Pelodiscus sinensis: one gene and its partners. The protein of the gene in region 2 interacts with the protein of the main gene of each other region in a pairwise test. Links are inferred from orthologs where the notes say so. Each region holds a gene or a part of one and is shown on either strand. Other genes may lie near its edges. The genes, in order: surfactant protein C-like, SEC22A, TMEM79 and ERLIN1.

The links.
Region 1: the proteins of SEC22A (region 2) and surfactant protein C-like interact in binary tests that used the Homo sapiens proteins (3 or more experiments, as listed by UniProt). The two-hybrid records come from large-scale screens. The link is inferred for Pelodiscus sinensis from reciprocal best matches to the Homo sapiens genes SEC22A and SFTPC.
Region 3: the proteins of SEC22A (region 2) and TMEM79 interact in binary tests that used the Homo sapiens proteins (3 or more experiments, as listed by UniProt). The two-hybrid records come from large-scale screens. The link is inferred for Pelodiscus sinensis from reciprocal best matches to the Homo sapiens genes SEC22A and TMEM79.
Region 4: the proteins of SEC22A (region 2) and ERLIN1 interact in binary tests that used the Homo sapiens proteins (3 or more experiments, as listed by UniProt). The two-hybrid records come from large-scale screens. The link is inferred for Pelodiscus sinensis from reciprocal best matches to the Homo sapiens genes SEC22A and ERLIN1.

Annotation. Positions count from the first base shown.
Region 1 is NC_134738.1:11,604,143-11,611,425, reverse strand, and holds the start of surfactant protein C-like, read left to right. Parts: upstream 1-4,266; 5' UTR 4,267-4,404; coding exon 4,405-4,587; intron 4,588-4,789; coding exon 4,790-4,936; intron 4,937-6,113; coding exon 6,114-6,254; intron 6,255-6,782; coding exon 6,783-6,893; intron 6,894-7,283. Other genes in the region: LGI3 (leucine-rich repeat LGI family member 3), read right to left, coding at 1,895-2,106. UniProt on the Homo sapiens protein: Pulmonary surfactant associated proteins promote alveolar stability by lowering the surface tension at the air-liquid interface in the peripheral air spaces.
Region 2 is NC_134717.1:9,377,617-9,385,296, forward strand, and holds the start of SEC22A (vesicle-trafficking protein SEC22a), read left to right. Parts: upstream 1-4,670; 5' UTR 4,671-4,822; exon of another isoform or gene 4,823-4,918; intron 4,919-5,563; exon of another isoform or gene 5,564-5,672; intron 5,673-7,680. UniProt on the Homo sapiens protein: May be involved in vesicle transport between the ER and the Golgi complex.
Region 3 is NC_134734.1:16,208,448-16,216,138, reverse strand, and holds the start of TMEM79 (transmembrane protein 79), read left to right. Parts: upstream 1-4,679; 5' UTR 4,680-4,829; intron 4,830-7,691.
Region 4 is NC_134718.1:7,017,812-7,025,342, forward strand, and holds the start of ERLIN1 (erlin-1), read right to left. Parts: upstream 3,014-7,531; 5' UTR 2,881-3,013; intron 2,807-2,880; exon of another isoform or gene 2,710-2,806; intron 1-2,709. UniProt on the Homo sapiens protein: Component of the ERLIN1/ERLIN2 complex which mediates the endoplasmic reticulum-associated degradation (ERAD) of inositol 1,4,5-trisphosphate receptors (IP3Rs).

The DNA of each region.
Region 1 (7,283 bases), on a different chromosome or scaffold from region 2:
TAGTGAGGGGGCTGGGAGGGCAGCAGAGCCAGCGGGTGCAGGAAGGGGGGGCCCCTGCAGACAAGAAGGGGGCCAGCAGGTGTCCAGGGGAGCTGCTTCCGGGGCCCCTATGTGCACACACATCCCCCTGCCCCCCCCCCCTGCCCTAGGACTTGAACGGGTCAAGCCAGGGACAAGGGGGGGGGAGCAGAAATGGGGTTTGCAGCTGGGCCCAGCCCATCTCTATTCGAGGTCAGGATGGGAGCTTGGCAGGGGGCGGGGGCAGGCCTGATGCATGTCCTGTGCTCACACTCTCACACACACACTCACACTCACACACAGATGCACACTCACACACATTCACACACACAAACACAGATGAACACTCACACGCACATGCACACTCACACACACTCTCATACATGCACGCACACACACACATACTCACACCAACACACACAGATGCACACTCACACGTACACACTCACTCACACACGCGTGCCCACACACACAGATGCACACACAGAGACGCACACTCATGCACACACACACAGAGATGCACACACACACACAACGCACCTGCACGTGCCATGCAGCAGATGCACACCCCAGACAAATAGGGGCACCGCCCCACACACATCGAACACACCCCGAGCACAAGCCGCCCTTCCCCACCCTGGCGATGGAAAAAAAGGTCTGTCCCAGCAGGGCCCTGCAGAGATCCAGCAGGGACGGGCGCAGAACAGAGGAGACTGCATCTCGTTCTGCCCGGGTTCCACCCCGGCCAGGGAAGGGGAGACCCACGGGCGCAGGGAGGGGCGCTGCGAGGTCTCTGGGGGGTGGCCCGATGCCACGGCAAAGGGCCCAGTCAGGACCTAGTGCTTAGTGAGAATCAGCTGTGATGAACACAGTGGAAGGAAAGGGCTGCCTAGGGCTGTGCTGGGGAGCTGCCCAGGAGGTGGCAACACAGGGAGAAAAGTGTTTGTGTCTCCCTCTCCCTACACACACGCACATGCTTACTGCCCTTGCACCAGAACACGCACACGCTTACTGCCCTTGCACCAGCATGCATACACACACTTACTGCTCTTGCACCAGAACACGCACACGCTTACTGCCCTTGCACCAGCATGCATACACACACTTACTGCTCTTGCACCAGAACACGCACACGCTTACTGCTCTTGCACCAGCATGCATACACACACTTACTGCTCTTGCACCAGAACACGCACACGCTTACTGCTCTTGCACCAGCATGCACACACATGCTTACTGCCCTTTCACTAGCATGCACACACACCCACTTACTGCCCTTGCACCAGCACGCACACACACACTGCTCTTGCACCAGCATACACACACTTCCATTTGTGTATACACTGAATTCGTTTGCACAACGCACACATTGCACCTCTGTGCACGTCCCGGATGATCAAAGACTCCCAGGGTGCACACGATGTGCGGGCATACAACCCCCGTCCCCGTGCTCACGCAGCCAGACGTGCACCGCCACACACACTGCCACAGGCCACGCTCTAAAAGAAAACGACCCCCACCCCGAGGGGCAGAGACCCCCAACAAGGCCGTGCAGGCACGGTGATCTCATGCAAACTAGCAGCTCCAGGATAGTCCCGACAACCTGCATGCACCCAGCGGGTTATTACTGAACACACATCACATAGATACCCCCTGGAATCCCCCCGTCTGTGTTAGCCAACCCACAACCACCCCATCCTCTTGCACCCCCAGAGAATGTGCTGCCTTTTGGGGAACCCCCAAGAGCATCAAGGACCCTCAGCCCGCAGATACCCCCCCCGCTTTCTCCCTCACCCCAGCAGAGGCTCCCCTAACCCCCCGTATCCCACCCGCGATCCCCCCTTGCCCCGCTCCCGGCGGCTCGGCCGCTACTCACAGGGAGATGACGTCCGGGGGCAGGTTCCTGGGCACCGCCTTGGCGTCGATGCAGAAGGCAGTGTCCCGGGTGCAGGAGCAGCTGGGGGGACACAGGGGCAGCTTGGGGGCTCGCTTGGAGCCCGCCGGCAGCCAGAGGTAGGCCAGGCTCAGCAGGAGGAAGGCAAGGACTCGCCCCCGCTGCATCACTTTGCCTGGCTGCAGCTCAGCCATCGCCCTGACCTGGCCTCCCCCACCTCCAGGAGAAGAACCCCCCCGGACCGTTGCTTCAGTTCTGCCCTGGACCCCTCCCAGCGCCCCTGGCCTGGCTGTCAAGGCCGGGAGCTGCAGCCAAGAGCCGGAGCAATCCGGGGAGCGAGGATGCTACAGTCCATCTTGCTGCTCTGCAGAGCACCACACTCAGCTGCCAGAGGGGGGGTGGAGCAGGAGTGTTTTGCTGCCGAGTGATTCGTCTAAGTTCTGTCGCTGCTGGGGATCTCGTCGGTGCACGGGGAGGGCGTGAGCCCATTGTGCACACTAGGGTGTGCACGAGTGTGAGCTGCCTGCACTCCCGCGCTTGCAGGGGTGCACGTGCTGCACGTGCCAGTGTGTGGGTGTGTGTCCCAGGTGTGAATTCTGCGCGCATGTATGAACGCATACGTGCGTCTCTCTGTGCGTGCGAAAAGTGAAAAGACACGTGCAAGAAGGCTGTGGTGAATGTTTGTAGCGTGTTCGTGGCAATGTGGTGTGTACACAAATATAGGATGGTGTGGTTCCTTCGCAGGTGCGGGGGTCTACCTGATGGCGCACGCCCGGATTGTGTCTGGATGGGACTGCGAGCTTCTGTGCGTTTGTGTGTGCTTGCACGAGCCTGAGTTTGCACATTCTGTGGGTGCTTGTGTGCATGTTCTGTTGGTGCGTGTGTGGACACACGCACGGAGGCCGGAGCACTTGTGTGCGTGAACACGTGTGCACGTGCACGAGTGTGCACTGAGTGCTCTTGTGCGTATCCGGAGTGCAGGGTAGGGCAGTTACCACACAGCCTCGTCCGCTGGCTTCTGGCCCTCGCCAACTCACCCTCCCCATCACGCCCCCCCTCCACGCACACTGAGACCTGCACCTGCAGCAGGATCCTCCCCGTGAAGCAGGGTCTCCCTGCCTGCCCATTTCCTTCAACCTCTGCCCCGCAGCATTCGACCTACCGCCGATCCCCTCCCCCATCGCCCTGGCAGCCACCTCCCCTGCCCCCCCCCCCCCCCCCCGTCCCACACGTCCTTGCGGAGCCTCCTGGATAATTCATGACGAGCGGCGAGCGGCACCAGCCAGCAGTGGCTCCGGTCCCAGGCACGGCCGTCTCCTGGCTCCACAGAGGCAGTCTCAGCTCTGCAGCTGGCGCCCCGGCCAGGGCACTGACAACACACAAACAAGGGGCTGGGGGGCCGGGCAGAGGCAGGGCAGGGGAGGAAGTGGGGCTGGAACTCCTTTTGGGGTGGGGGTGCTGAGCTGCACCCCGCCCCCACCACCCCGGCTGAGAACCGGCTGCCAACTCTCCCGGACCGGATTCCACCGCTGCAAACGGCGTCCGGTCCAGGAGAGCTGGCGACGCTCACGCCCCAGGCTGGGGGCAGCTGCAGAGCCCTGGGCCGACGGCGGGACCCCGGAGCTGGTGGGGCCAGTGGGCAGTGGGACCCCGAGGCCCGACAAAGCCCGTGGGGCTGGTGGAGGCAGGACCCCGAGGCCCGGCAGAGCCCGTGGGGCTGGTGGAGGCAGGACCCCGAGGCCCGGCAGAGCCCGTGGGGCTCGGGGAGGCAGGACCCCGAGGCCCGGCAGAGCCCGTGGGGCTCGGGGAGGCAGGACTCCGAGGCCCGACAGAGCCCGTGGGGCTCGGGCAGGCAGGACTCCGAGGCCCGGCAGAGCCCATGGGGCTGGTGGAGGCAGGACCCCGAGGCCCGGCAGAGCCCGTGGGGCTCGGGCAGGCAGGACTCCGAGGCCCGGCAGAGCCCATGGGGCTGGTGGAGGCAGGACCCCGAGGCCCGGCAGAGCCCGTGGGGCTCGGGCAGGCAGGACTCCGAGGCCCGGCAGAGCCCGTGGGGCTGGTGGAGGCAGGACCCCGAGGCCCGGCAGAGTCCGTGGAGCCAGTCCAAGTGCCCCAGCGCCCCCCCCCCCCCCCCGCGAGGACCAGGCGCTCCCGGCGAGGGCTCTCGCCAAAGGCCTTTGATGTGCGGCTCTTGCTTTGAACCTCTGAAGCACCTTCCGGTGCCAGAGGGGCTCAGAGGCGCGGGGCTCCGAGCCAAGCCTGGCTCTGGCCACATTGGCGGGCCGGAGACTCCCGCCAGCCCCTCGGAGCCGGGGGGACTCTGGCCTCGCAACCCCTGCGGTTGCGGCTCTCGGGCGCTCAAAGGCCCACGTGCCCGGAGACAAGAGTCCTTGGAGCCTCTCACCGGCCACGGGCCCGGGGCTTATCGGAGACCTGCCTCTGAAGGGCCCCGGGAAACAGGTTCACAAACAAATCCGAAGGGAATTAAACACTTGATGTGGAGCCGGGAGGGCCTGGGGAACGCCAGTGTCCCACCGCTCCTCCGCCCGCCTGCCCTCTGCTCCTCCACTAGCTCAAGCCCCTTATATAAGCCCTTCTCCAGCCACGACGGAGCACGGCGGGATCCACAGAACAAGATGGATGTGAGCACCAAGGAGGCGCTGATAGAGGCCCCGCCGGTACGGCAATGAACACAGGCTGGGCGGTTTTGCGTTTGTACAGCACCTAGCGCAACGGGGTGCAGGGCCACAACCGGGGCTCCAAAATGCTACGTTAATATAAGTAATAACGACTGGGGAGGGGGGTCCTTTCTCTCCAGCATACACCCCTCCCCCCTCCCCCGGTTCTGCTTGCTGTCAGCGTTTTTCTCCGTTCCCACAGGACTACACCGCCACCCCGAGGGTCCCCGGCTTCGCTTCTCGCCTCAAGAAACTCTTGATCGTGGTGGTGGTGGTCGTGGTCATCGTGGTGGTGGTGCTGGGCTTCCTCCTCATGGGGCTGCGTTTGTCCGAGAAGCACACGGAGACTGTAAGTGGGGCGTTAAAACACGGGTCCCCTCCCGCCAGGCGCCCGCGCAGGGGGAGGGGGGGCTGCTCGGAGCCAGGCCTGGTGCGGAGGGGCAATGCGCCAATGCGCCAGAAGCAGATGCCGCCGGGCACAGCGGGCGGCCACCGCATGGGGCTGGTGCAGCCACGCCTGGAGCTCAGGCAGCGGGGGAAATGCGCCCGAGCTAAGACGCCGGAGCAGCCGGGAGAAGAGGCTGCTCCAGCGCCTCCGTGGGAGCCGGTGGGGGTGTGGACAAGCAGAGGGAACCCCAGAGGAGGCTGGGCCGTTGGAGGACTAGGGTCTGTGGTCAAAGCAATGACCGACCTCAGCAAAATTTCTGGGGTTCCTTGGAACCTCAGGAGGTCACCTCACCCCCTGCCCAAAGCAGGACTAACCCCGATTCAACCATCCCAACCGGGGCTTTGTCCAGCCGGGCCTCAGACACCTCCCGTCTCTTTGCCGGCATGGACTCAGCAGGGGCGAAGGGAAACGGCGCATCTTCAGAGGCGCGTCCTCAGGCAGGCCCTGCCTTCCCAAAGCTGCCCCAGTGCCCCGGCGACCCAGGAGGGCTGGGGCAGCTCGGCTCCCCCGCTGCCTGGGAGCGCTGGGCGGTAGCACGGCATCCCCGGCCCTCCATGTGGCCAGGAAGGATCGGGCTAGGTTTGCCAGATGGTTTAACAAAAAATATCAAAACCCTCCCCTCCGCCAAAAAAAACAACAACCAACCACTGGGAAAAAATTCTTCTGAGGAAAAAAAAAGGGGGAGACCAAAGTTGTTAAGCAAAAAAAAAAAAAAGGTCACTGCAGCTTTAAATTCCTGCCCTTCTCGCTCCCCTGCCCTCACAAACGCCTTTACATGTCCAGTATTCTCTGGTTTTTTTTTTACCAGACAGAAGGCCAAAATACCGAACTGTCCAGGTGAAAACCAGACACCTGGCAACCTTAGATCGGGCTGGGGGTGGGAGGGATTGGGGGGGGGGGATGCTGAAGGGGCGGGGCCTCAGGCAGGAGGGGCGGGGCCTCAGGAAGAAAGGGCGGGGCTGGGGCTTGCCTTCCCCAGCTGGGTCTTCATCTGGCGCCTATGGTATAAGCAATGAACGGCTCTGGCTCTGGCTCCCCGCCGCACACACCTCACCCCGGGGGTGTCCTTGTCCCCTAGGTGTTGCGAATGACTATCCAGAGCCTGGACGGGGAAGGGTCCCCGCAGCAGCTCTCCATACGCGGGAAAGAAAAGACCGGCACTTTCTACGTCACGGCAGGGATCAACTCGTCAGCCACCGTGGTCTACGACTACCGCCACGTAAGCAGGGCCAACGGGGCAAAGCTGGGTGAGGGCTCCGGGGAGCGTCCCCGGCTCGGCTCAGACCTCAGGCAGGCTGGGACCCGGCTGGCCGCAGGCTGGAATCGCTGGAGGCGACCTCGCATGAGCGGTAGAGGAGCCGGGGTTACTTTCCGCCGGGCCCACATCGCCGTCCCAGAGGTACCCAGAGGTCCCAGTGCTGCACCCCAGAGACGAGCAGCGTAAACCCCAAGATCTGCGCGTGCCCCAGGTTTGGGGTGTTCCGAGTCCCACCGTGGGTTTTGGTCTTGCAAATGCAATCTCCAAGGAGGCTTGGATCCCGTTTCCAGCGACCCAGCCCCCCACGCTGCGGACAGGGACACATCGGCCCGGCCCTTCTCCAGCGGAGGGGGCAGGAGGCTGCCGGGCTGAGCAGAGGGGACGGAGAGGGTCACAGTGGGGGAAACAGAAGGGGCCGGTTTGCAGGGTGATTTGGCTCCCGGGGATCTGCCAGGGTTTAACGTCACCCTCTGCTCCGCCTGCAAACAGCTGCTGATTGGCTACCGATCCTGGCCGGGCCGGGCCTGCTACCTCCGCCGGATGGACCCGGAGAACATTCCAGGCCTGGATGCCATTGCCAAAGCCTTTCAGCACCGCCAGGTGAGCGGCCGGGGCCAAAGGGGGCAGAGGAGAGCGCGGGGAAGGGCCGTGAGACGTTTGTGAGAGATGAAAACCCGGCGGAGGCCGCTCAGAGTCCCTGGGAGACCGTCGCACCGGCGGGCTGAGCTCCCCCGGGAATCAGTCCTAGAGACAAACCCAGGAAGGAAGCAACCGGGGAGCATTTCCCGGCGCAGAGCTGGCATTGCCTGCAGTGGCTGCGGCCGGGAGCCCGCGGGGGCCGCTGTCTACCCCTCGCCTCCCTGCTTTCACTGCTAGGCGATGCTGCCTCTCTCCTGTGCCAGATGGATCAATGTATTGGCAAGGAAGGCTCATCTAATGTTTGAGCAAGGGGAGTGTTGCTAATGAGCATTATTCCCTCTCATTTTTTCT
Region 2 (7,680 bases):
TTACATGTTCATCAAAAATTGCTCCCCATGTTTTATTTCTACAAATCCAGGATTAATGGCACAGAAAATAAAAATACACTAACTTATCTCATTGCAGACTGAGATGCGGTGTGTGAAGATTATTTTTTAGAGACTTATTTTTTCCTTTTATCCTTAATAAGGATGTTATTGTGTAGATGACTACACAATTAACTGATAAACCTGGGCTTACCGGTTAATCTTGTTTACTACACGCATTTCTCCCCCCTGACCTTGCTGCCTCTGTATCAGAGGCAGCAAATGGTGGGGGCGGGGTGAAGCTGGAGTCGGTTCCCGGAAGGAACTAGCTTAAAAGCTGGCTCCCCAGGATCACTGGAGCCGCCTGTCCCCACCTCCCATGAGACAGAGCAGCGCAGAGGGTGTGTGGGGTGGGGGGGAAAGAAGGCTGGAGCCAATACGCATGGAGAGCCGGCTTTCAAGCCATCTCCCTGCATATACAGAATCCTTTGGACCTGCCTCCCCCTTCCCTTGCTGCCTCTGTAGTGGGAGTGGGGAGGAGCCGGTGCTGGGGGGAGCCGACTTAAAAGATGGTTCCCTCCAGTACCAGCTCCACAGTGTTGCTGCCCTCCTCCCCTGCGTAGGTGGGGTTGGGGCGGGGAGATTGCCGCAAAGCAGCCTCTGTCTGCAGTGGGCTCGAGCTCCCCGCAGTGGGCCTGAGTTTCCCATGGACAGAGGCTGCTTCACAGCAGCCTCCACTTCCCCCCATGCTGCTGCCTCTGTCCATGGGGAGCTCCCACGGACAGGAGCTGCTGCCTCTGCACTGCGGCCTCTGTATCAGAGGCATTAGCACGGGGAGGCAGGCAGCCAGTCTGCGCTGGGGAGCTGGTTTTTAAACTGGTTCCCCTTGCAGACCAGCTTCCACCTGCCATCCCATGCCGCTGCCTCTGATAGAGAGGGAGCAGCTTGGGTAATAGGGGCTCCCCAGGAGTGGAGCCAGGAGCACACTGGCTGCTGGCTCACCTCTGACTATCGAATAGTCATTAACCGCTAAAGATTCATGTGGTTACATGACTATTGAATTGCATGATAGCTAACATCCCTATTATTTTACTGTATTTAATTTTGTAAAGAATTATGGGATATAGTTTATAGGAAAGACATCATAGGCCAAATTCTCTAGTCTTACCAAACTGTGCTTGATGCATGGTTGAGGAGTGGGAACTCAAAGGAATAGAACCAGTCTCCTGCATAAATTAACCATTCACACCTGCTTGTCCATAGTTCCAATGGATATTACTCTATCACCCTAGGATCACTAGAAAAATTTAAAAAACAACAAATGCTTCTGCAGCACCTTAGACACTAACAAAAATGCAGATAATATCATGAGCTTTCGTGAGCACATCCCACTTCTTCATTGGAGTTATCCAGTCACCTGCCTACACTGAGGCCTGGAGATGATGGGGATGTTCAGTTGTTGCATTGGCTTTATCATATCTTGGGAATTCCCAGGTATCAAGTTAAAATGTATTTCCAGCTGCTGTGTGTGCTATTGGAGTAGGGCTGGAGTCACAGAAAAAAAGCTGTGTCTACACTGGCGTGATCTCACGCAAAAGCGGCCACTCTTGCACAGAAACTTGCTGCCTGTCTATACTGATCACATATTCTTGTGCAAGTAAACTGACGTTCTAATGTATAAAATCAGGGCTTCTTGCGCGAGAACTCTGATGCTCCTGCTCAGGAATAAGCCCTCCTGCGCAAGAGCTCTTCCAGAAGAGGCCAGTGTAGACAGGCAACATGAATTTCTTGCACAAGAAAGCCCTATGGTTAAAATGGCCATCAGAGCTTTCTTGCGGAAGAGAGTGTCTACACTGGCATGGATGCTCTTATGCAAAAGCACACGCCAGTGTGGACGCTCTCTTCTGGAAGAGTTTTCGCAGAAGAACTCTTGCGCAAAAGAGTTTTTGTGTGAGAATGCGCCAGTGTAGACGTAGCCAAACGTGGCTTGAAGATACCTCCCCTGCTTTCTTCCCACATTGAGTGCAACTCAGGTGACCCAGAGAATCTGACATATGATGCATTGCTTATCATTTGTATTCTAGAAGTCATTGCACTATTAAGTCCAATTGTATAGTTACATAATAAAAGAGAGAAATTAAAAGGTGTTAGCAATGGAGAGCGGAATTAGGGTAACAGCACATGAAATAAAGTTGTACTGAAAAGAAGGAAACACGGACAAGTAGAAGAGTATTATAAGAAGCAAACTCTCTTGTCACACTACAGAAAGTAGATTTACCTAAACATGACTCTGTCAGAGACTGGTAATGGACTGTGGATGGTTTTCAAATCAAACTCAGTTGCTTTGTGACTGCATTACCAGCTGATTGTGTGTTGGTCTGTGCGAATAGCGTTGTGTTGTATCAGGCCAGTCCTTGGTGCCTGCTACTGCTGCCGATGAGTTGCGGTTGTTGGTTGACTTGGGAGAGGATAATGATTATGTATACTGCGTTAAACATCACCAGGCACTTGAAACATTGCAAAAAGGATGGGCTTGGTCACAAGCACCTGAGGGAGCGTTAGAAACCCAAAAATTCCATGGGGAAGCCAACAGCTATGGGCATTTGTGGCAACTTCCCCCCCCCCCCCATCACTAACTCCATTAACATCACAAATTGCAGCCAACATGAACCATACCTAAGCTGACCGTACATCCCAATTTTTACGGGACTGTCCTGAATTTAAATACTATGTCCCAGTGCCCCATCAAATAGTGAAATGTCCTGGAAAGCCCTGTTGGACATTTCACTACTTGATGAGGACACTGGCATGGTGCAGCAGCCTCCTCCCCCTCCAAAGGGTGTATAGGGCAGCCAGGACACCTTCCCCGCTCTATTCCTCCCCCGACAGGAATGCCTCTACCACACAGGGGTCTGGCCCAGTGGCACCACCTCCTTCTCCTCTGGGCTGCCTTGGAGCCCCAGCAGGAGCTGCGTGGAGTCCAGCTGGGGCGCTATGGGGCCGGGTGCACTTGGGCTCGGCAGGTGCCAGAACTGGAGATGGGGCTTCCTGGGGTGCTATTTTCAGTATCGCAGTCCACGTATCCGTGGGCAGCCCCAGCTCAAGTCAAGTGGCAGCCGCACGAGGTGCATTCCAGCCGGGGCAGCCTCACTGGAACGTCCCTTGACTCTAGTAGGAGCTGGGCAGCCTGTGGGGACCCAAACTGCAGGACTAAAAATAGTAACATAGTCCCAGCAAGCAGTCCCACCCCAGAAGCAGCTGGGACCAGGGCTTCTGGGGCCAGACTGCAGGATCCAGCCCCACAAACTGCTTTCTGGAAGGCAGAAGGTGAGGAACGGGGCAGAGGGAGAACTTAGGGGAAGGGGGATGAGGAGAGGAAGGGGCTTGTGCTGAGGGGAGAGTAGGGGGCCAAGGCAGGAGAAGAAAGGGCAAGGCACTAAGGGGCAGGATGGAGGAGACACAAATGCCAGGGGGCCAAGAGGAGACAATGAGGAAAAGGCAGGAGGGGATAGAGGAGGGAAAGTGTCAGTGGGGATGGGAGAAGGGAGGGGTCAGGATGATGCCAGGAAAGGAAAGGGAGGAACAATGGGGGCAAGAGGGAGGAAGAGGAGTGGGGAGGAATGGGTGCCCGGAGACGAGGCATTGAAAGAAGGGGTGGGTATGAGGAAGCCAGGAGATGGAGCCAGGCATGTGTGAGGGCACAGAGGAACATGAGGGGAACTGGAGAAGAGGATAGTGAGGGGGTGGGCACCAGAGAGAAAGAGGGCAAGGAAGGCAGGGGCAGTGAGGGAAGGAGAGGGCACCAAGAAGGTGCAGGTGCCCGGGGAATGTGGGGATGAAGCAGAAGGGCAGATACGTGGAGGGGAGGGATGGGCACCAGAGGACTGAGCAGGTGGGTAGAAGGAGGTCTTAGGAGAGGGGATGGGGAGGGGTAGCTAGAGATGATCAGAGTGGGGTTAGAAGAGGAGTGGACACAGGGGGAAGAGAAGAGCTCGTGCATGGGAAGCGGGCAGTTTCCAGGAGGCCTGAGGGGAGTGAGAAGGGGTGGAGCCAGGACAACAGAGGAAGGTGAGGGGTGCGGGGCAGCAGGCACCAGGGGAGCAGTTGGAGCGAGGGACGGGTAGGAGACATGGCAGCAGAGGGAAAAGGGAGAGGTTCATAAGATATGTGTTAGTAACTTGGGTCCCACAGTGGCACACATCTGAACAAGTGCACATGAACTGGTGCACAAGATAAAATTCACTCCGCTCATGGGAAGAACATCTCAGAGGGAACACTCCCCCCCCCCCCCCAGTAAATGCAATTGCAGGATGGGAGGGGAGGGGGAGTCCTGTGGGGGCAAAGCTCATCCCTATTGGCAGAGTTCTTAGAGCGGTCACATGACAACCTTTACTTCTGGACACGTGTCCTGCTTGACCTCCAAGGGTGGAACGTCCTGTGGCAGGGGGCGTGGCTAAGGGGCCGGGGGCGTGGCTAACGTGTCCCTAACTTTGGTTCAGGAAATAGGGTCACTCCAACCACAGCGAAAGAAAAATGGCGGGGCCGCCGCCCCTGCCTCAGCCCTACACAGCAATGGCGGCCCAGCCCCCTTCTCTCCCCAGGGTCATGGCGGCCTCACCTAGCCACCCCCCCCTCCCCATCACCACAAAGCAACGGCCTCTCCACCTCTCCTCCCCCCCGCAGAGCGCCGTCCGGATGACTGCGCAGCGTCACGTGATCTCCCCTTGCCAAGCAGTTGGTGGCGGGCCACGTAGATGGTTCCCAGCATGCCTTGCGGCAAGGGGACGTGAGCCCTGCGGCCGATGCCGCGGCGCCGGTGAGGCAGGTAGTTCGACCCGCCCTGCTAGGCCTCCCTGAGCAGTTGCCTAGCAACGGACCCAGGCCCGCCTGGCCCCCCCCGGCCGGCCCGCAGGCGGCTCAGGTGCGGACGGGGGCCGGGAGCGGCGGCCTCCGAGGGCAGGGGTGGGGCCCGGCGCAGGTGGAGGGAGCGGGGGCTTCCCCCGGGGGCAGGCGGGAGGCTGGGGCAGAGCTCGCCGCAGGCCCTCCCCGGGGGCGCGTCGGGGGCAGCCGTAGTGGCAGAGCCGGGGCTGTAGGTTAAGCGGCAGGGGCCGGCGCAGCGCCAGCCTCGTGCGACCCACCTCAGGCGAGGGCGGCGCTGGCCAGAGCAGCCCTTGTCCCCCTCCCCTCCAGCAACTCCCCCTGGCCCTTGGGTCACTTTGCTTAAGTGTCGTCCCGCAGAGCCCCTGCCCGCCGCCGGCCGCGCCAGGATGTTAAGGGTCATCACGGTGACCGTTTTAAACAACTGTTTCCATCCCTATTCAGCATGGGGATGGGTCCCTCTCCCAGTGCCCAGGCACCAGAGTGTGGGGTGGAGGGGAGGGGAGGGCTGTTGCAGTGGAGGCGTTATTCCACATGTCCACTTGCCTTTCAGAGAGAGGGAGGCATGAACCCGCCTAGGGCCTCTTTCCCATAGTTTAAGCATAAGGTAGGCGCCTTGGCAAATGCTGCTCTCCAGAACAGCTATGACTTCTGTTTTCTCCCCACTTCTTACCTGGGCACGACACAGGTGTGTGTTGGATAGCTCCTGTAGCCAGTGTGTCTTAAATGAAGCTATTGAGGAGGACACAGTGCCCCTCTCCCATGAGTTACCCATAACACCTCAAGATCAGGTTAAGGTAATGTACTTTACCTGGTACTAGTTTACTATGGAAACTAGTACTGAACTTGGTTGCCTGCTTATTAAACATAATTTTGCAAGTGAAGCTCATTAGAACACAGTTACAGGATTTTCGAGGGCTATTAATAGACTTCTGCATCAACACCAAGGTTTTGGTGCAAACCTTCGAAGCATAAGTGCTCTGAGCCCTTGTAACCATAGAGATTTTGTCCCCATTCCTATGGTACTGGTGCAATCAGTTAAAATGCTCACTGAAGGTTCCTTGGTACAAACAGGATGAAGTTGGCGACAGGGTATTCTAAGTGGGGGTTCCTTAATTTTGGTGTGCATTTTTAGTCTGCCAGACGTTAGATAATTGTTAACCACTTGGGAATTCTACAAAACCCGTATCTTTTTCTCTGGTGTCCGAGAAGGGGCATATGGGCTGAGAGCGAGGGTTTAGGTTTATTTTATTGTCCTGGTTGTATTTGATGGTGTCAAGGTGGAAGGGGTAGCCCTTTATTTGTTGTATTTGTTGTGTAATGTATTTTAATTAATAAAATGGGCATCCAAAGTGGTACAATATAAAGCTTTTACGTAGCTAAGAAAATAAACTAGGACTGAAACTTATGAAACAGTTAAAGTTAATACACGTAACATGACACAAGCCCAGAAAAAGCAGGAAAATGAGAAATTAAATCACCTTACGGTACATCATAAGTGCACACCTTAATGTTATCATAAGTACTGTACTTAAATCTGTCTTCTGAATCAGCCCTTCAACATGCAATATGCATATCGCAAAGCCACACTGTTATTTGTGAATGTTTAATGTAATCAGTTTGTGTGTGGGGAAGGGGTAATTTGGAAAATGAGGTGCTGGAAGTCTAGCATCTGTTGGAGAGTAGAGACTACCCATTGCATCAAATCTACTTCACAAAAATTATCAAAAAATTAATTGTAAGATAGGCAATGTGGAGTATTTTTAAAAGTGGTGCTGCCACAAAGAATACTTGTCAACAGGGCAATTTAAAAAAATTGTATTAAGAATTATGCAAAGGAATCAAACAAAAATGCCTAGAAAATAGTCTATAAACTAATACTGTCACATTTCAAATTGAAATGCTATCTTTATAGAGAGGAAAAAAACAGGAATATGTACTGAACATACGTCTAAAGATGGAGTTGTAGCCATGTGCTTCCATATACACAATACACAATTACCAGTTACCTCTTCTCAATAAGAAGGATCTGGGATTAGGTCATGGACACTGCAATTGCACATTCCCACTTCCCAGGGTCCCGCAATGCAAACAGCAGCTTTAAAATGAGAATAGTGGAGTACTGTCCTTTTCACAAATTTGTGAAAGGTGAGAGAGTGTCTTGTATGGTTTAAAAAAGGAGAGGTTCCTTGAACTTAGAATAGTCTAAAGTAGAGAGTATTAGGGGAAAAATTACTAGATATTCAAGGAATTAGTTGCAAATTAATTGCTAAACTTTTGGATAGATAGATAGAAATGACACTTAAAGATAATGTTACTTTATACAAATATTTCTTGCTCACATTTTCCTATGTGTACATCAGCATTCCCTGTAAGATGAGTGCTTAGGTGGCCATCCTGGTGAGACTCAAGTGTCTCCCAGTTGATTAGCAGAGAGCCAACAGCCAGCAGCATGTATTTCTACTGGTGGTGCATACCTGCACATGCCTCAATGCACATAACAAAATCTATTCTGCACATAGAGGGGAAAACTTAGAGGGAAGATTGGTGCACATATGTACATGTGCAAAAAAACCTGCTTGCAATGGAGACTTTTTTTTTTTGTTGGCTGAGTAAAATGTCCCTTGGTTTTTAATTCTCATCATGCTGTTATAGAAAGAGTTAGTAGATTTTTATTTAGTGGTAAATGTTTATGATAGTTTTACAAGACTGAATTACATGCAGTAAAAATGTGTGTTCATTAACTTTTCTACATTCATATGTGATTTTCTTTTAAGTTAAATGACAACTTTTTAGGCAGTCTTC
Region 3 (7,691 bases), on a different chromosome or scaffold from region 2:
TTTTTTTCAGTAACCATGCATGGTGACACTTAAATGTTCATGTCTAATTTTGTAAGCAAGTAGTTTTTAAGCAAGCTGAAACTTGGGGGTACATTGATGAATCAAACTCCTGAAAGGGATATAGTAATCTGGGAAGGTTTAGACTGTACTCCCTTTGGAGCAGGGACTATCCCTTACTACGTGTGTGCACGCAGCTTAGCACAACAGGGTCCTGATTTCAGTGGAGGTCCCCAGAGTAACTATAATCTACTATATATTTGAGAGAGATTGTACATCTGTCCATCCATCTGTCTGTGAGTCCATTTGAAGACCTCCTCCTAAACGGTAAGAGCTAGGACCAACAAATTTGGTAAGCACCTTCCTCTGATCATAACTTAAAGCAAGATCAGGGTTTGATTTTGCCAGGACACTGGGATGTGCCTGGAATGCAATTGCTCATGAAATGGAAATCGCCATTTTCGCGATCGGGGCTTTTTTGCTCAAAACAAATCTGAGCTGTCTACACTGGCCCTTTTGCGCAAAAGCTTTGCGCAAAAGAACTTTTGCCCGAATGGGAGCAGCCTAGTATTTCCGCAGGAAGCACTGATTTCAGACAGTAGGAAGTCAGTGTTCTTGCAGAAATTCAAGCGGCCAGTGTAGACAGCTGGCAAGTTTTTCCTTCGGAGGAAAACCAAAAAGATTAGGGGGCTACAGCACATGACCTATGAGGAGAGACTGATGGATTTGGGTTTGTTTAGAGTGCAGAAGACTTACAATTTACAGTGGGGGAGCTCTCGGTTGGATATTAGGAAAAACTATTTCACTAGGAGGGTGGTGAAGTACTGGAATGAGTTACCTAGGGAGGGGGTGGAATCTCCATCCCTAGAGGTTTTTAAGTCTCGGCTTGGCAAAGCCCTGGCTGGGATGATTGAGTTGGGATTGGTCCTGGCTTGGGCAGAGGGCTGGACTTGATGACCTCCTGAGGTGTCTTTCAGCTCTAGGATTCTATGTGCTTCTCACCTGACCCCAAGCTGCTGTACTGAGAGAGGACTGGGATTGTCCTCTCTCCTGAGTGAAGACTGCATGCTGAACCCCTCATCCCCCACCCCAGAGCTTTAAATGAAGAAAAGAGTTAAGGACTCGAGCAACGCCAGGTAGATCTTCTAGTTCATAATGTAATCAGTCCCTAGGAAATCCACTTTGTATTGTAAGCCACACAAGCCTTCTAAAGTTCAGGGTAGATCAGTGCTAGGAGATGGGACCCAAGGGAGCAGAATTCAAACATATGTTTAAAATATGTTAACAGGCTGAATCAATGGGCATTCCACGTCCTAAGTAAAGTTCAGTTATCCACCCATTGGGCAGTGCTGTGATGGGATGGAGTGAAAGAAGCTAAATTTGGAATTTCTTTTCTGGAGTATTTAATTGCATACATTAATTTTGATCATTAGATCCTAAACGTAATCTGATGATGGGTTTTGGGGGGTGGCTAGGATAAACAGTAGCCACGTTAGGTCTATTCCCCCATTTCATTTCACTAAATTGCTCCACATCAAAACAAACCTTGGTGTGCTTGCTTGGCGAAGTGGCTGTGGATGTGTATTATCTGCTTCTCTCTGCCGCCAAGATCCTTGTGAGTTGTTCCAACTGAACAGAAATATTGAGAGCCCCTGGCTGGCTTCCTACGCTACGCAGATTAAGCACCCAAACTACTGTCCAATCCAGGGGTTGGTACATAGCGCAAACTAAATATTGATCTAAGATTCTGACACTGAAGTCAGCATTTATCCTGATGTCACATGTGCCTACATGCACACAGAGTTTATATTACACAACACACACCACACTTCTATATGCATACAGGCAGATCCACACGCGACAGCTCTAATGCCTGTAGCTATCACATTCACACATTTTGCTTTCAGCCTATACGGATACACACAACATACGACACACTTTTATCCACATAGAAAAACCCCCACACAGAAACCACATTTACACACCTATGCCTATTACATACACAACATATATACTTATATGTTCCCTATCCTTACACATATATGCACCAATACACACAGACACCACGTGGCACACACACACACTGCAAATGCACCAAACAGATAATACACACACAACGCATGTATATGCACACACACATCAAAGACACATGTGCAAACAATCCAGTCACACATACCCATGAACAGGAAAACACAACACACAAACCTGAATGCATAAGACAACACAACTATACACCACACTGACATCCCTTCACAACATGAGTATACGTAAGCATGTTAAATAATAAATAAATAATAATAATATATACTTTTATAAAAGGAGAAGCATCCGTCATACTCTCTGTCACAGAGAACATTTGAGAAGACTTGACAAGTTTCATGGGGAAGGCAGGACCCTAGCCAAAACTCCACCCCCTCTGCTGAGGCCCCGCCCCCACCATGGACAGGGGAACATAAGAACATGAGAACGGCTGTACTCAGTCAGACCAAAGGTCCATCTAGCCCAGTATCCTGTCTGCCGACAGTGGCCAGCACCAGGTGCCCCAGAGAGGGTGGACCGAAAACAATGATCAAGCAATTTGTCTCCTGCCATCCCTCTCCAGCCTCTGACAAACAGAGGCCAAGGACACCATTTTATCCCCTGGCTAATAGCCTTTTATGGACCTAACTTCCAAGAAATTATCCAGCTTCTCTTTAAACTCTATTATAGTCCTAGCCTTCACAGCCTCCTCTGGCAAGGAGTTCCACAGGTTGACTACACGCTGTGTGAAGAAGAACTTTCTTTTATTAGTTTTAAACCTGCTCCCCATTAATTTCATTTGGTGTCCTCTAGTTCTTCTATTTAGGGAACTAATAAATAACTTTTCTTTATCGGCCCTCTCCACACCACTCATGATTTTATAGACCTCTATCATATCCCCTCTCAGTCTCCTCTTTTCTAAACTGAAAAGTCCCAGTCTCTTTAACCTCTCCTCATATGGGACCGGTTCCAAACCCCTAATCATTTTAGTTGCCCTTTTCTGAACCCTTTCCAAAGCCAAAATACCTTTTTTGAGGTGAGGAGACCACATCTGTACACAGTATTCAAGATGTGGGCATACCATAGTTTTATACAGGGGCAGTAAGATATTCTGGGTCTTATTTTCTATCCCTTTCTTAATAATTCCTAGCATCCTACTTGCCTTTTTGACCACCACTGCACACTGTGTGGAAGTTTTCAGAGAACTGTCCACAATAACTCCAAGATCTCTTTCCTGATTTGTCATAGCCAAATTAGTCCCCACATACTGTACATATAGTTGGGGTTATTTTTCCCGATGTGCATTACTTTACACTTATCCACATTAAATTTCATTTGCCATTTTGTTGCCCAATCACTCAGTTTGGTGAGATCTTCTTGGAGTCCCTCACAGTCTGCTTCTGTCTTGACTATACTAAACAGTTTGGTATCATCTGCAAACTTTACTACCTCACTGCTTACCCCTTTCTCCAGGTCATTTATGAATAAGTTGAAAAGGATTGGTCCCAGGACTGACCCTTGGGGGACACCACTAGTTACCCCTCTCCAATCTGAAAATTTACCATTTATTCCTACCCTTTGTTTCCTGTCTTTTAACCAGTTCTCAATCAAGAAAGGACCTTCCCTCTTATCCCATGGCCATGTAATTTACACAAGAGCCTTTGGTGAGGGACCTTGTCAAAGGCTTTCTGAAAATCTAAGTATACTATACCTACCAGATCCCCCTTGTCCGCATGTTTGTCAACCCCTTCAAAGAACTGTAATAGAGTAGTAAGTCAGGATTTCCCTTTACAGAAACCATGTTGACTTTTGTCCAACAAATTATGTTCTTCTACATGCTTCACAATTTTATTCTTTACTATTGTTTCGACTAATTTGCCCGGTTCTGACGTTAGACTTACCGGTCTGTAATTGCCAGGATCGCCTCTAGAGCCCTTTTTAAATATTGGTGTCACATTGGCTACCTTCCAGTCATTAGGTATGGAAACCGATGTAAGGGATAGGTTACAAACCACAGATAACAGCTCAGCAATTTCCCATTTGAGTTCTTTTAGAACCCTTGGATGAATGCCATCCGGTCCCGGAGATTTGTTAACATTAAGTGTTTCTATTAAGTTTTTCTCTTCCCGGGAGAAGGAGGAGCAGCGCACAGAGCGCACACAGGCCCCCCACCACCACGGGGAGGGGAAGAGTGCAAGCACGTGCCCTAGCATCCCAGGAGCAGTGGGGAGGGAAGAGGCTGCACAGCCCCATCTATCCCCGTCCCCGGGAGCAGCAGGAAGGGAGGAGGCAACGTGGCTCCAGCATCCCCGGCCCTGGAGCAGTGGGAAAGGAGGGGGCCGCATTGCCCAAGCCAGATCAAGCCTCCCCACCCCCATGAACAGCGGGGGAGGGGGAAGGCCACGTGTATGTCTACCGTCGCAACGGGACGGGTAATAAAATAATAATAATAATAATACACTACTACTGCATGACTCAGACACGTATTACACAAACAAGCCTGCACAAGACATGGCTGCAGCACAGAGACATGCATACACAACACACAGGCACCACACAAACATGCACCCACCCCACATGCACAACACATGCCCACAACCTGTGGGAACAGCCTTTTCTGCCGACGGATTCAGCAGGTTGGGTGAGGCAAATCTGCCTCTGCCCCTTTAATTGTAGCCACACCTTGGCTGGCTAAACAGGTTTGAAGTCCAGGAAAAGGAAAGAAGCCTCAAACAGCGATCAAACCCCAGGACAGCCATCCGCAAAACAGCTCCGTTTCCACATGGCCCGGCTCAGCCCAGCCTGCTCTCCAAGTAAGCAGCCAAGCAGGGAAACCAGCTCTCTGCTTTGCTATGCTCATTTTCTCTTGCAGTCTGGTGGAGTGGAAGGGTTGTTCTGAAGAGGGGTACAGGGAGTTCTCTGGGGGTGGCGGGGTGTATGTGTGTGTGAGTGAGAGAGAGAAAGAGAGAGAGAGTGTCAGACTACTGCTCGGTGCCTCGGTTTCCCCATCTGCAATGTGGGGACAGTGCGCCTGCCCTCTTTCGTACGGAGATCTCTGAATGAAATGTGCTATGGAAGAAGCTAGGGACTATTCCTGGGTGTGCAAGATACAAGGCTGTCCCTACTGATAGGCAAAACACGCACCACAAAATTTGGGCCCCCAGTTTCATGGTGTCCTCTGCAGCCGCATGCTGTGTATGGGCTCCAGCCACCTCCAGCCCCAACCCCCAGCGGCAGCAAGCAAGGCTCAGCACCCAGGCCCCACTCACCAGGCGGCAGCAAGCAGCTCTCACGGGCTGGGGGACTCGGAGCAGGGGGCAGCCGCACAGTGGGCGGCTGGAGAGACGAGGCGCTTCCCCCGTGAACGTGCTGCTTCTCTTTGGCCAAATGCGCGTCCACCCGCTGCTCCTCTGGAGTCTCCTGGCCTGCGCCTCCCTCCCGGCCCTGCTCCCGCTTGTCAGCTCCACCATCACTACAGTAAATGGCGTCCGGTCCGGGAGAGGTGGCAACTCCTTTCCCCTCCCAGGAGGGGTACCAGTACTGGGATGCATCGAGCACCAGTACGGACAGCCCTGGCAAGAAACGTGTCAATACTTTACTTGTGGCTTCTTTGACACCCTCTCCTTCCACCGCTAACGCTGTGGCAGAAGGCATCGCAAGTGGCTCTTAATCTCCCCCGTATTGAGCCCCACATGGACACGCTCCTATGTCTCTTGAAAAGCAGCAGGGCTAGATCCTCCGCGGGGGTAGCTCCCAGACACCGGCTGGGAATCTGGCTCCCCAGGGATCCCTGACGGGTGCACAGAGTTCAACATTGGGGTGAATAAACTAGCTCTCCTCCTTGGCAGATCTCAGCCAATCCAGGAGGGGCTGCCAACATTTCCCGGCTTTGCCCCCATGCGTAACACGACAGGGGCCGTGTCGCCTCCCAGTGCCTATTCTCTGCCAGCCTGGGGGACATCATTTCAAGAAAGATGTGGAGAAATTGGAAAGGGTACAGAGAAGAGCGACAAGAATGATTAAAGGTCTAGAGAACATGACCTATGAAGCCAGGCTTCATGAACTGGGCTTGTTTAGTTTGGAAAAAAGAAGATTAAGGGGGGACATGATAGCGGTTTTCAAATATCTAAAAGGGTGTCACAAGGAGGAAGGAGAAAATTTGTTCCTCTTGGTTTCTGAGGACAGGACAAGGAGTAATGGGCTTAAAGTGCAGCAGGGGAGGTTTAGATTGGACATTAGGAAAAAATTCCTAACTGTCAGGGTGGTCAAACACTGGAATAAATTGCCAAGGGAGGTGGTGGAATCTCCCTCTCTGGAGATATTTAAGAACAGGTTAGATAGACATCTGTCAGGGATGGTGTAGACGGAGCTTGGTCCTGCCTTGAGGGCGGGGGGCTGGACTCGATGACCTCTCGAGGTCCCTTCCAGTCCTATGATTCTATGATTGTCTCCTCTCCTATGGGCTAGCCTACTTCAATCTCCTTTCAGTTGCTGGGATTGGTGTGCGGGTGGTATCGGTGGCCCGTGAGATACAGGTCAGACGAGAAGATCTGGTAGGGGTCCCTTCTGGCCTGCACCTCTCTGACTCAGTGGTATTTTAATTATTGGTCTGCTGCCTGCAGTTGAGAGGGGCCTGCCTCCCAGCTCTTGCAAATCAGCATTCAAGCCACTCCCTCTAAGGCTGGAGAGATTTGCACGGTGTGTGTGCAGCTCAGGGACGCACTAAACATTTTTGCTCCTCCTCAGTTTAATAAATGTCCCTCCAGGTAAGCTCATGGCTATCGGCAAGTATTTACCTGCCTGATGAAGCAAAGGGCCCTGTTAAACTGGATGGGCTTTGCCAGAACTTCTGAAAATCAAGCCCTTCTCTTTTAACTACCATCCAGGTTCCAGAGCCCCAAAATTTGCATCTCTATTCCCAACATTCAGGGATCTTTATGTTCAACCAATAAGGGGCCAGAGCATAAATGCAGATTCCAATTCAGAAGTGTTTTGGATCCAAGATTTAGGTTCCAAGAAGGGATGTTAAAGACTAGTCGACTAATCCACTAGCCAATAAGCATTTGCTTATCGGATAGTCTTTTGACTAGTCGACTAATTGATTTCTCTGTCCCCCTTGCTGCTTCTATGAGATAGAGGCAGAAAAGCAGAGGGGAGGAAGGGGTACTTCAAAGTGGCAAGTGTTTCACCCCAAGGCAGTGTTTCAAAGGAGCAGCAGCTGCACAGATGATCTGTGGATCAGCTGTGCGGCGGCGGCCACTTTAAAATGCCATTTCTGGCATTTCAAAGGGGCAGCTGTTGTGGAGCCCAGGTCCAGCTGGGCACTCCCAGCTGACTCCAGGCTCCCCGCTGCATTTCCCCACAACCCGGGATTAGCTGGGGAGATCCCGGGTTCTGGAGAAATTCCGTGCAGAGCCCGGGATCAGCTGGACAGTCCCCAGTTGACCCTGGGTTCCACTGCCCCTTTGAAATGCAGGGAGGTGGCATTTCAAAGGGGCAGTGGAGCCCAGGGTTAACTGGGGACTCCCCAGCTGATCCCAGGCTCCGCGCAGCACTTACGCAGAACCTTGCACTTCCCACGTCCCCCGCTGACCCCGGGATCCATGGCTTTGAAATACACAAGAGCCCTCGCAGGCCGCAGGGGACCCTTGTGCATTTCAAAGCAGGCACCCGCG
Region 4 (7,531 bases), on a different chromosome or scaffold from region 2:
AGGATATGCGAGACTGCCACCGGCTGGCACCTATGTTGATTCGAACACACACACAGTCCCTGGAAGAGGAATTTCCCACTGAGAAAAGAATCCCCAGTAATTCCAATTTAGTTCTCTCTCTTAGGCTATGTCTAGACTGCAAGCCTCTTTCGAAAGAGAGCGTCTAGACTGCACGCGGAACTTTCGAAAGAGCAAGCTGCTTTTTCGAAAGAAAGCACCCAGTGAGTCTGGATGCTCTCTTTCGAAGAAGCCCTATTTACATTCAAGAACGCCTTCTTTCAAAAGAAGCACTTTCGAAAGAAGGCGTTCTTCCTCGTGAAATGAGGTTTACCGCCGTCGAAAGAAAAGCCGCGTTCTTTCGATTTAATTTCGAAAGAACGCGGCTGCAGTCTAGACGCAGGTGAAGTTTTTTCGGAAAAAGGCTACTTTTCCCGAAAAAAACCCTGAGTCTGGACACAGCCTTACAAGTGTAAATTAAGTTCACAACTCCCTTGTAAGAACTGGTCTCACAAAAGACAGACCAGCCCCATTTGGCATGACAGATAAGAAAGAGAAATACGTGACCCCATGAGTATAAAAGATGGGCCCAGCACACACTCACTTTGAGTGTCATTCTACCCTCTACCTGCTGGTCAGGTTAGGTGTTTGACCTCCCGAGGTTCTATGGGGACGCCCACCTCGTATTTTCATCTTTCCTAGGAATTGAGGGACCGGCCCTGGCCTGACATGCTGGAGTTGAGAGGCACAGAAGGGGGTAAAAATTGTACCTGGATGTGGTCCTCTGTCTTAAGTGTACACATAGAAAGAGTAAGCTGTTACTTGGTACCATTATTTCTATTTTTCTATCTTTATCTTCTTTGTAACCATTTTTAAGATCTATATTTTGCTAGTAGTTAAGAAATAGAACAATAGCCATTGCAACCATATGATTTATAAGTTTCTTTAATAAACCTGTAACTGTTTAAGTTTTAACCTGACTCCTTAAGTTGCTGTAACAGAACCAGGCACAATTTAAAAGAACTTCAGCCGGTCTTAAGGGACAGACCGTTGGCTGACAAAGCCTCAGAAGCGCGGGGAACCCGCCCGGTGCCCCTGGTCTGCTGGAGACGGTCTCCAGCAGACCAGGGGCACCGGAGCAGCTTATGAACAGGGCTTTCTCGCCCCGGAGCTCGCAGGTAGCAATCCGCCACCTCGACCTCCAGGGCGAGAAAGCCCCGTTCGTAAGTGCGGATCCGACGTAAGTCGGGGACTGCCTGTATTAGAGAAAACTCCCTTGAGCTTTTGTGTTATGGGACTGTTCTTTTTTTGCCATTGTAAAAAATATAGTAGGCACAATCTACCCTTCTCTCAGACAGGCACAAACTGGCTAAGATTTGGCCTTGTTTACTTTGGAAAAAAAACTGGACTTTGATCAGGAAATACAGCGCAAGCTCTTGGCAGGAAGGAATAGGCAAGAGTCTAAACGTGCAATCTGAATGAGGCCAGCAAGGCAATGTACTTCTAAATAGTCATTTCACGGAACCCAAACTAGAGATGTAAGAGAGTTGTCGATTACTCGCATTTTCACCCCCCTTGCTGCCTCTATCAGGGGAGGGGGAAGAGGCAGCAGCTGGTGTGAGAGGCGGGGAGGGGAGGCAGAGGTGCAGCAGAATTGCAGTTCTGCCTTTTAAATGTAGTAAGAGTCCCTAACCAAAACTAAGTTTTCCAGCACGTAGATTCTAGCAGGATAAGAAAATAAACTTTCCCTTTGGTGCCCACAGTTGCCCAAGTGCAGAGCAGATTTCTCCATGTCCCTTATTCAGCCCAGGTGATTAAACATCCTTCACCTGGACCAAGCTACACACTTCCTAGAACAATCTGTGTCCAGCTAGTCACTCTTTCCCAACTAAAGGCTACAGTCATGACTAGCTTAGTACAAATCAGGAAAGAGATATGAGATCCAAGGGCCCCTATAAGAAATGGCTGAGAACCAAAGCTTCCCACTTGTGAGTGTGTAGGGCAGGCAAGGGAGAAATTAGTCGTTTATTCCTGCAGAGTCTGTGCTTTCCCTTGGTTTGAAAAAGTGACATTTCTAGTGGCCAAGATTGCAAAGACAAGCCAGGTATAATCCAGAGTCTTGTCTTCCTGTTTCTGCAGACAAAGAAGCATTAAGGCGTCTGCAGCTGCTGCTCAGAAATTGCCAAGGGCAGCAGAATCAAGTTAGCAAGTTTCTGGGTAAGTCTCCCTGCAGACGGACGCTCAGAAGTGTGAACAGCATCGGAATTATTCACTGGGTAAGAGAGTCCAAACCCACCGTGACTAAGGGACAGGGCAGAAGGGGTCTGTGTCCACCAAGCCCACGACTAATCTAGGAGGATATCAAGAAACTGGTGTAATAACTAACCGCCTCTCAGCAAGCGCCAACAGACCATTTCCCGTTCACCTTGCAGACATTAAGGCTCCTACTAGTAACAGGCAGGCACTCTCCCGCCGCCAGACTCCCCACCAAAATCAAGTGTCCCAAGGAGACACCGCTGCAGCTTCCTAAGCGCTGACTTGGCAGCCAGGAGCACGGACTGCGGCTCCCGTCACCCCCACACACAGACACTTCCCCACGCGCGGAACAAGCGGGCCCCTCCCCCCCACACACACTCCCCACGCGCGGAACAAGCGGGCCCCTCCCCCCACACTCCCCACGCGCGCGCGCAGCCGGGAGTCTCGCCACGAGACCTGTGGGAGCACCAGGCCCGCGCCCCGCCGCATTCCCCGGCTCGGGGGGGGGGAGGGGGAGTCTGAGGGCAGCGCCCCGGGCCGCAGCGAGGGCCCCCCCCCAGCCGGCGTGACGGGAGGAGGAGGGGGAGGGGGAGGGGGAAGGGGAGGTCTCCGCTGCGCCCCCAGTACCTGCTCAGCGCCGCCCCTCACGAGCCACCGAATACATCACTCCCACGCATGCGCAGCCACGCCCGGCTACTTCCGCCTCCCCCAGCCAATCACCGAACAGAATCACAGCGCCCCCTGGGACGGTAAAGCAGCGAGGGCAAAATACCTCTCGTCCCGGACCGCGTCGTGCAGCACCGCTCCCTGGCCGAATCCGACCCGGGGACGGGCGGTGTAGCGGGGCGGGGCTCAGCAGAGGGGTGTGTGTGACGTATGGGGGCGGGGCTCGGCGCTGGGCAGGGTTCAGGGCCAGAGTAGCATTGTGCAGTGTCACAAGGGGGAACCAGGCTGAATGGGGGGGGCACTGGGTGGTGTCAGTGTGTGGGGGGGGCCCCAAACCCCCATCTGCAGCCAGCACTGACCGCCAGCCAGCAGGCAGAACAGAGCCCCGTCTCTGCCCCCCCACTTAAAACACCCCAAAGCCTGCTCCAGCCCTTCTGCAGCCTTAGTCCTGCTTACAGGACACCCCCACCGAGGCTCAGGGTACAGAAAGCATCATCCATTGTGTACCTGCAGGAGACCGACACTGAAATTCCCATCAGCATCTCACTCCTGGTGAAGTGCCTAGGGAAACTAAGGCACATGCACTGGGTTACTACCCAGTAATAGAGATAACATAACATAGTAGTAGAGATAACAATAACATAGCAAACACAGTCCCCCACTTTGTCGCATCTCTTCTCCCTTCGAGACCAAACGGAGCAGGGGCACTGAGCCAGTGGCCTGGGGAAGTTCGGGGCCCCTGCTCTGTGATAAAGCATTGGCTATGACATTAGCACTCCCCTTAACATGGACCACCTCTGTGTCATGATTCTGCAGGAGCAGACTCCATAGCAGCAGCTTGGTATTCGCCCTTTCATTTGGTCAGGGGAGAGTGGTCCGTGTACACCTTGAAATGCCACCCAAATAGATATGGCTGCAGTTTTCTAAGAGCCCACACCCTAGACAGGCATTCCTTCACTATGAGTACACAGTTCTGTTTGCAAGGCAGCAACCTCTTGCTCAAGTACACAATAGGGCATCTCTTCCTTTTTTTGTCCACCTGCATTAGCATCACACCCAGCCACCAGAGGCATGGGTAAACACCATAAAGGGCTTGTCAAAGTCTGGATTTACCAGTACTGGAGCCCCAACCAAGGTCTCACAGGGAGTCTATTACACAGCAGAGGGCACTACTGCAAGTCTAGTTAAATAGGTATTTTAATACAGTCCCAACCAAGTGAGCACATGACACCTCCACAATAATTAGAGGAATGTATATTCACAAACAAATAGCATCCCTACAATTATCAGCTGTTGGAATAACCTATAAACAAGGCTCTGTCCCTATTGTTTCTGGGTAACTGTAAATTGACCATCTCCTAACCTAACTTCATACAACCTGACATCCACCCAGAAATATTCTGGGTTGAAACTGCCTGATCCTTAGATCTTTCAGCAATAAAAGCAAACAGCCAAGGGGATAACCTGAATTCGTATTCCATGGTCAGAAGGGACCTTTATGGCCATCTCCTTAGACTGCCTATTGCAGGCCAGGTGCTCTTCCAGAGTAATTCCTGGAGCATGGATCTTACGAAAAACAGCCAATGATGGAAAAATCGGTTATGATCTCAAAGTCATTCCACTGGTTAATTTCTTAGTTAAAAATGTACAGCTTGTTTCCAGTCTGACTAGCTTTAGTTTACTACCACTGGGTCCTATTACATCTCTCTCCACTAAATTGGAAAGCCCATTATTAAAATGTTCCCCACTTGGATATTAACTTACTGTAATCAAGTCCCCCCTCTATCTTTTATTTGTTAAGTAAAGTAGTGATACTCAAGGAACTCAATCAGGAATATATTCTACCTTTGGCTCCCCCCATCTGAGAGGCAGTACAGCTGGGTGGTATGTTCAATACTTCCACCAATGTAGACGGGGGGTCTGCCTGGTCAAGATCAGGAGAGGCCTATAGCACAAGCCATGAGACGCTGCCTAAGTCTGAATTCCTGGGCTTACCGGGGAAAGGAATGGTAGATATTCCACTTGAAGAGGTGAGTGTCTCCAAAGCAATACAGGTATCTCTAAATGATCACTGCTGACCAGGAAGGATCGGAGACAAGAAATGCCATTCTTGAAGCGTGGAATCCTAGGCATAATCTTAATCCTTTACCACAAGATGGTGCAGCCTGGGATGGGGAAATCCCCAGAATCTACCTAACAAAAATGACTCTAAACCGCTATTACTAAAATTTTATTGTTTACAATATTTACAGAAATGAAGTCAAATCATCAGGAAGACTAGTTTTTCATAACTGTATGTTCAAGTGTGGCTATCAGGATAGCCCTGCATGAATGCAAAGATATTAATAACATTACTCAGCTCTGCACACGCATTCATTGTGTTGAACACGACAGAAGAATTCTTAGATTTCTTGGGAATAAATGGGAGAGCACAAGGCTCAGCATTTTCTCTGACAGTTACTGATTTTAAGAGAGTACAAGTTACAATTCTTTTGGTTCCAAAAAAGGTATATCAAAGGTATCAGTTTCAACAGATAGGCGCTCCTCCATGACAGCAAAATGCCATGGCTTTGTTGAAATCTTGTGTACCTGACATATGCAATGTGCATTGCATAATACACCAAGAGATGCTCTATGCTAAACTTAACAAGGGAGACACACTGAAAGCTGTAATGGACAAAGTGATACAGATTATTAACTTAGTTCATGCTTGCTCCCTGCATCACCATCAGTTTGTGGAACTGATGGAACAAATTGAAACAGAATATGAAGATCTTGTCATGCACACTGAAGTGCAGTGGTTACCCTGTGGTGAAGTACTGGACCTCTTCCTGGCACTTCTACCAGAAATCAAAGGGTTTCTTGCTCAGAAATTTCAAATGCACGCAAAGTCAGAAAATAAAAATGGGATTTTAGCTTTTATCATAACTGGTCACCTGAAGGTGTTGAATGAGACATTGCAAGGGGGGGAAAAAAACACTGCTTGCTCATACTAAATGCTAGTGTCAGAAAATTCATGTTACACCTTTAGTTAATGTCAGCTCCGTTACCTGCATGTGACACTTCATGTGACACACACTTGCCACATTTGGAAAAAGCCCCTCCCTTCCCCCCATGAAACACACTGATCAAGGAAATGACTATGATCCATCATTTCACATACAAGTGCTGTTTACACCAGCAGGGAGTTTTGAGAACTGCTTTTCTTCTCAGCGATCTGAAGTCCTTCCTCTTATTGTTCTCAAATCTATTTGAATTTCATCTGAGAAAGTGTGAAGTAGTATATCAAAGGACTGGAGTTCATAAAAGGAAGTTTGAGAAGTAATTAATTCATGTTAGTGCCCTGGATGAAGATGAAATTAACCAGCTAAAGAGAAAAAGCACATGAGAACTTTGGTTGAATACCCATAGTCTAGTTCTCCAGTACTGCATTGCAATAAGATGTCAAATTTTGGATCAACATACACATGCAGACTTTTTCTGCTATGAGACACATCAAATGCAAGAAGCGCAGACTAATGGATGGAAACCTTACTGGTGAATAGCAAAATGTCTGCACACCCCTTATTTCTAACTTAAGAAAGCTTGTGGAGGATGGCACCAAGCAGAAATTGCACTGAGTAACTTAAAGGTGGGAGGGGCTTGAGGCTACACTGAGAATGGACAAAACCAATGTAGTGATCTCTGGTGTATGAAGCAGCACAGACCCAGAAGACACTTAGATATATTTTCCTTCGAGAGCTTGTTTTAATCTCACTGATCAGAATTCAGTTTGCCACTAGATGAAATATGCCTTTTTGTGCTTAGTTCACCAGTGAGCCCAATTTCCCATTGCAGAGGCTCTCAAATGTCATTGTACCATGACCCCTTCTGACCCATATTACTACATGACCCCAGGGAGGGAGATCCAAGTCTGAGCTTGCTTGAGCTCTGCTGGCTTAGGTGGGGAGCCAAAGCCCCAGGCAGGGGACCTGTAACCTGAGCCCAGCTACACAGCATGGATACCCTCAGGCTTTGGCTTCAGCCCCAGGCCCTAGCAAGTGTAAGCCAGTCAGGGTGACTCCATTAAAATGGATTTGACACCCACATTGGGGTACTGACCCACAGTTTGAGAACTGCCATTGTATTGTATCCTTGGTCACTCACACCAGCGCAAAATGTACACTCACCTTGCACGTGTGTAAATGACTGCACCAGCAGGCAAGGGAATGGACGCTCACTTAGTGTACTACTGGTTACTTTGTGGGGGATGTGAAATGTATAGTTTTCTTCACTTTTTTGTTGCCATTACTCTTTCTATAAGGATAAATTGCTGTAACACATTTCAAAACCAGTTAGCCATGAAGCAACAAGTTCACCTCACTTACCAAACTTAAGTACTGAATAGTGAGGTGAACTTGTTGCTTTGTGGCTAACTGGTTTTGAAATGTGTTACAGCAATTTATCCTTATAGACAGAGTAATGGAGAGAGACAGGCAAGAATCAAGATTTTCAAGTAAGACATTTTAAAAGAGCATGATTTTCAGAAAGTATGAGGACCTGCCCTCTGAAAGAAAAAAAAAAAAATCAAATCCCGTTAAAGAGCTTGGGTTGCACACCCCAAATCACTAGC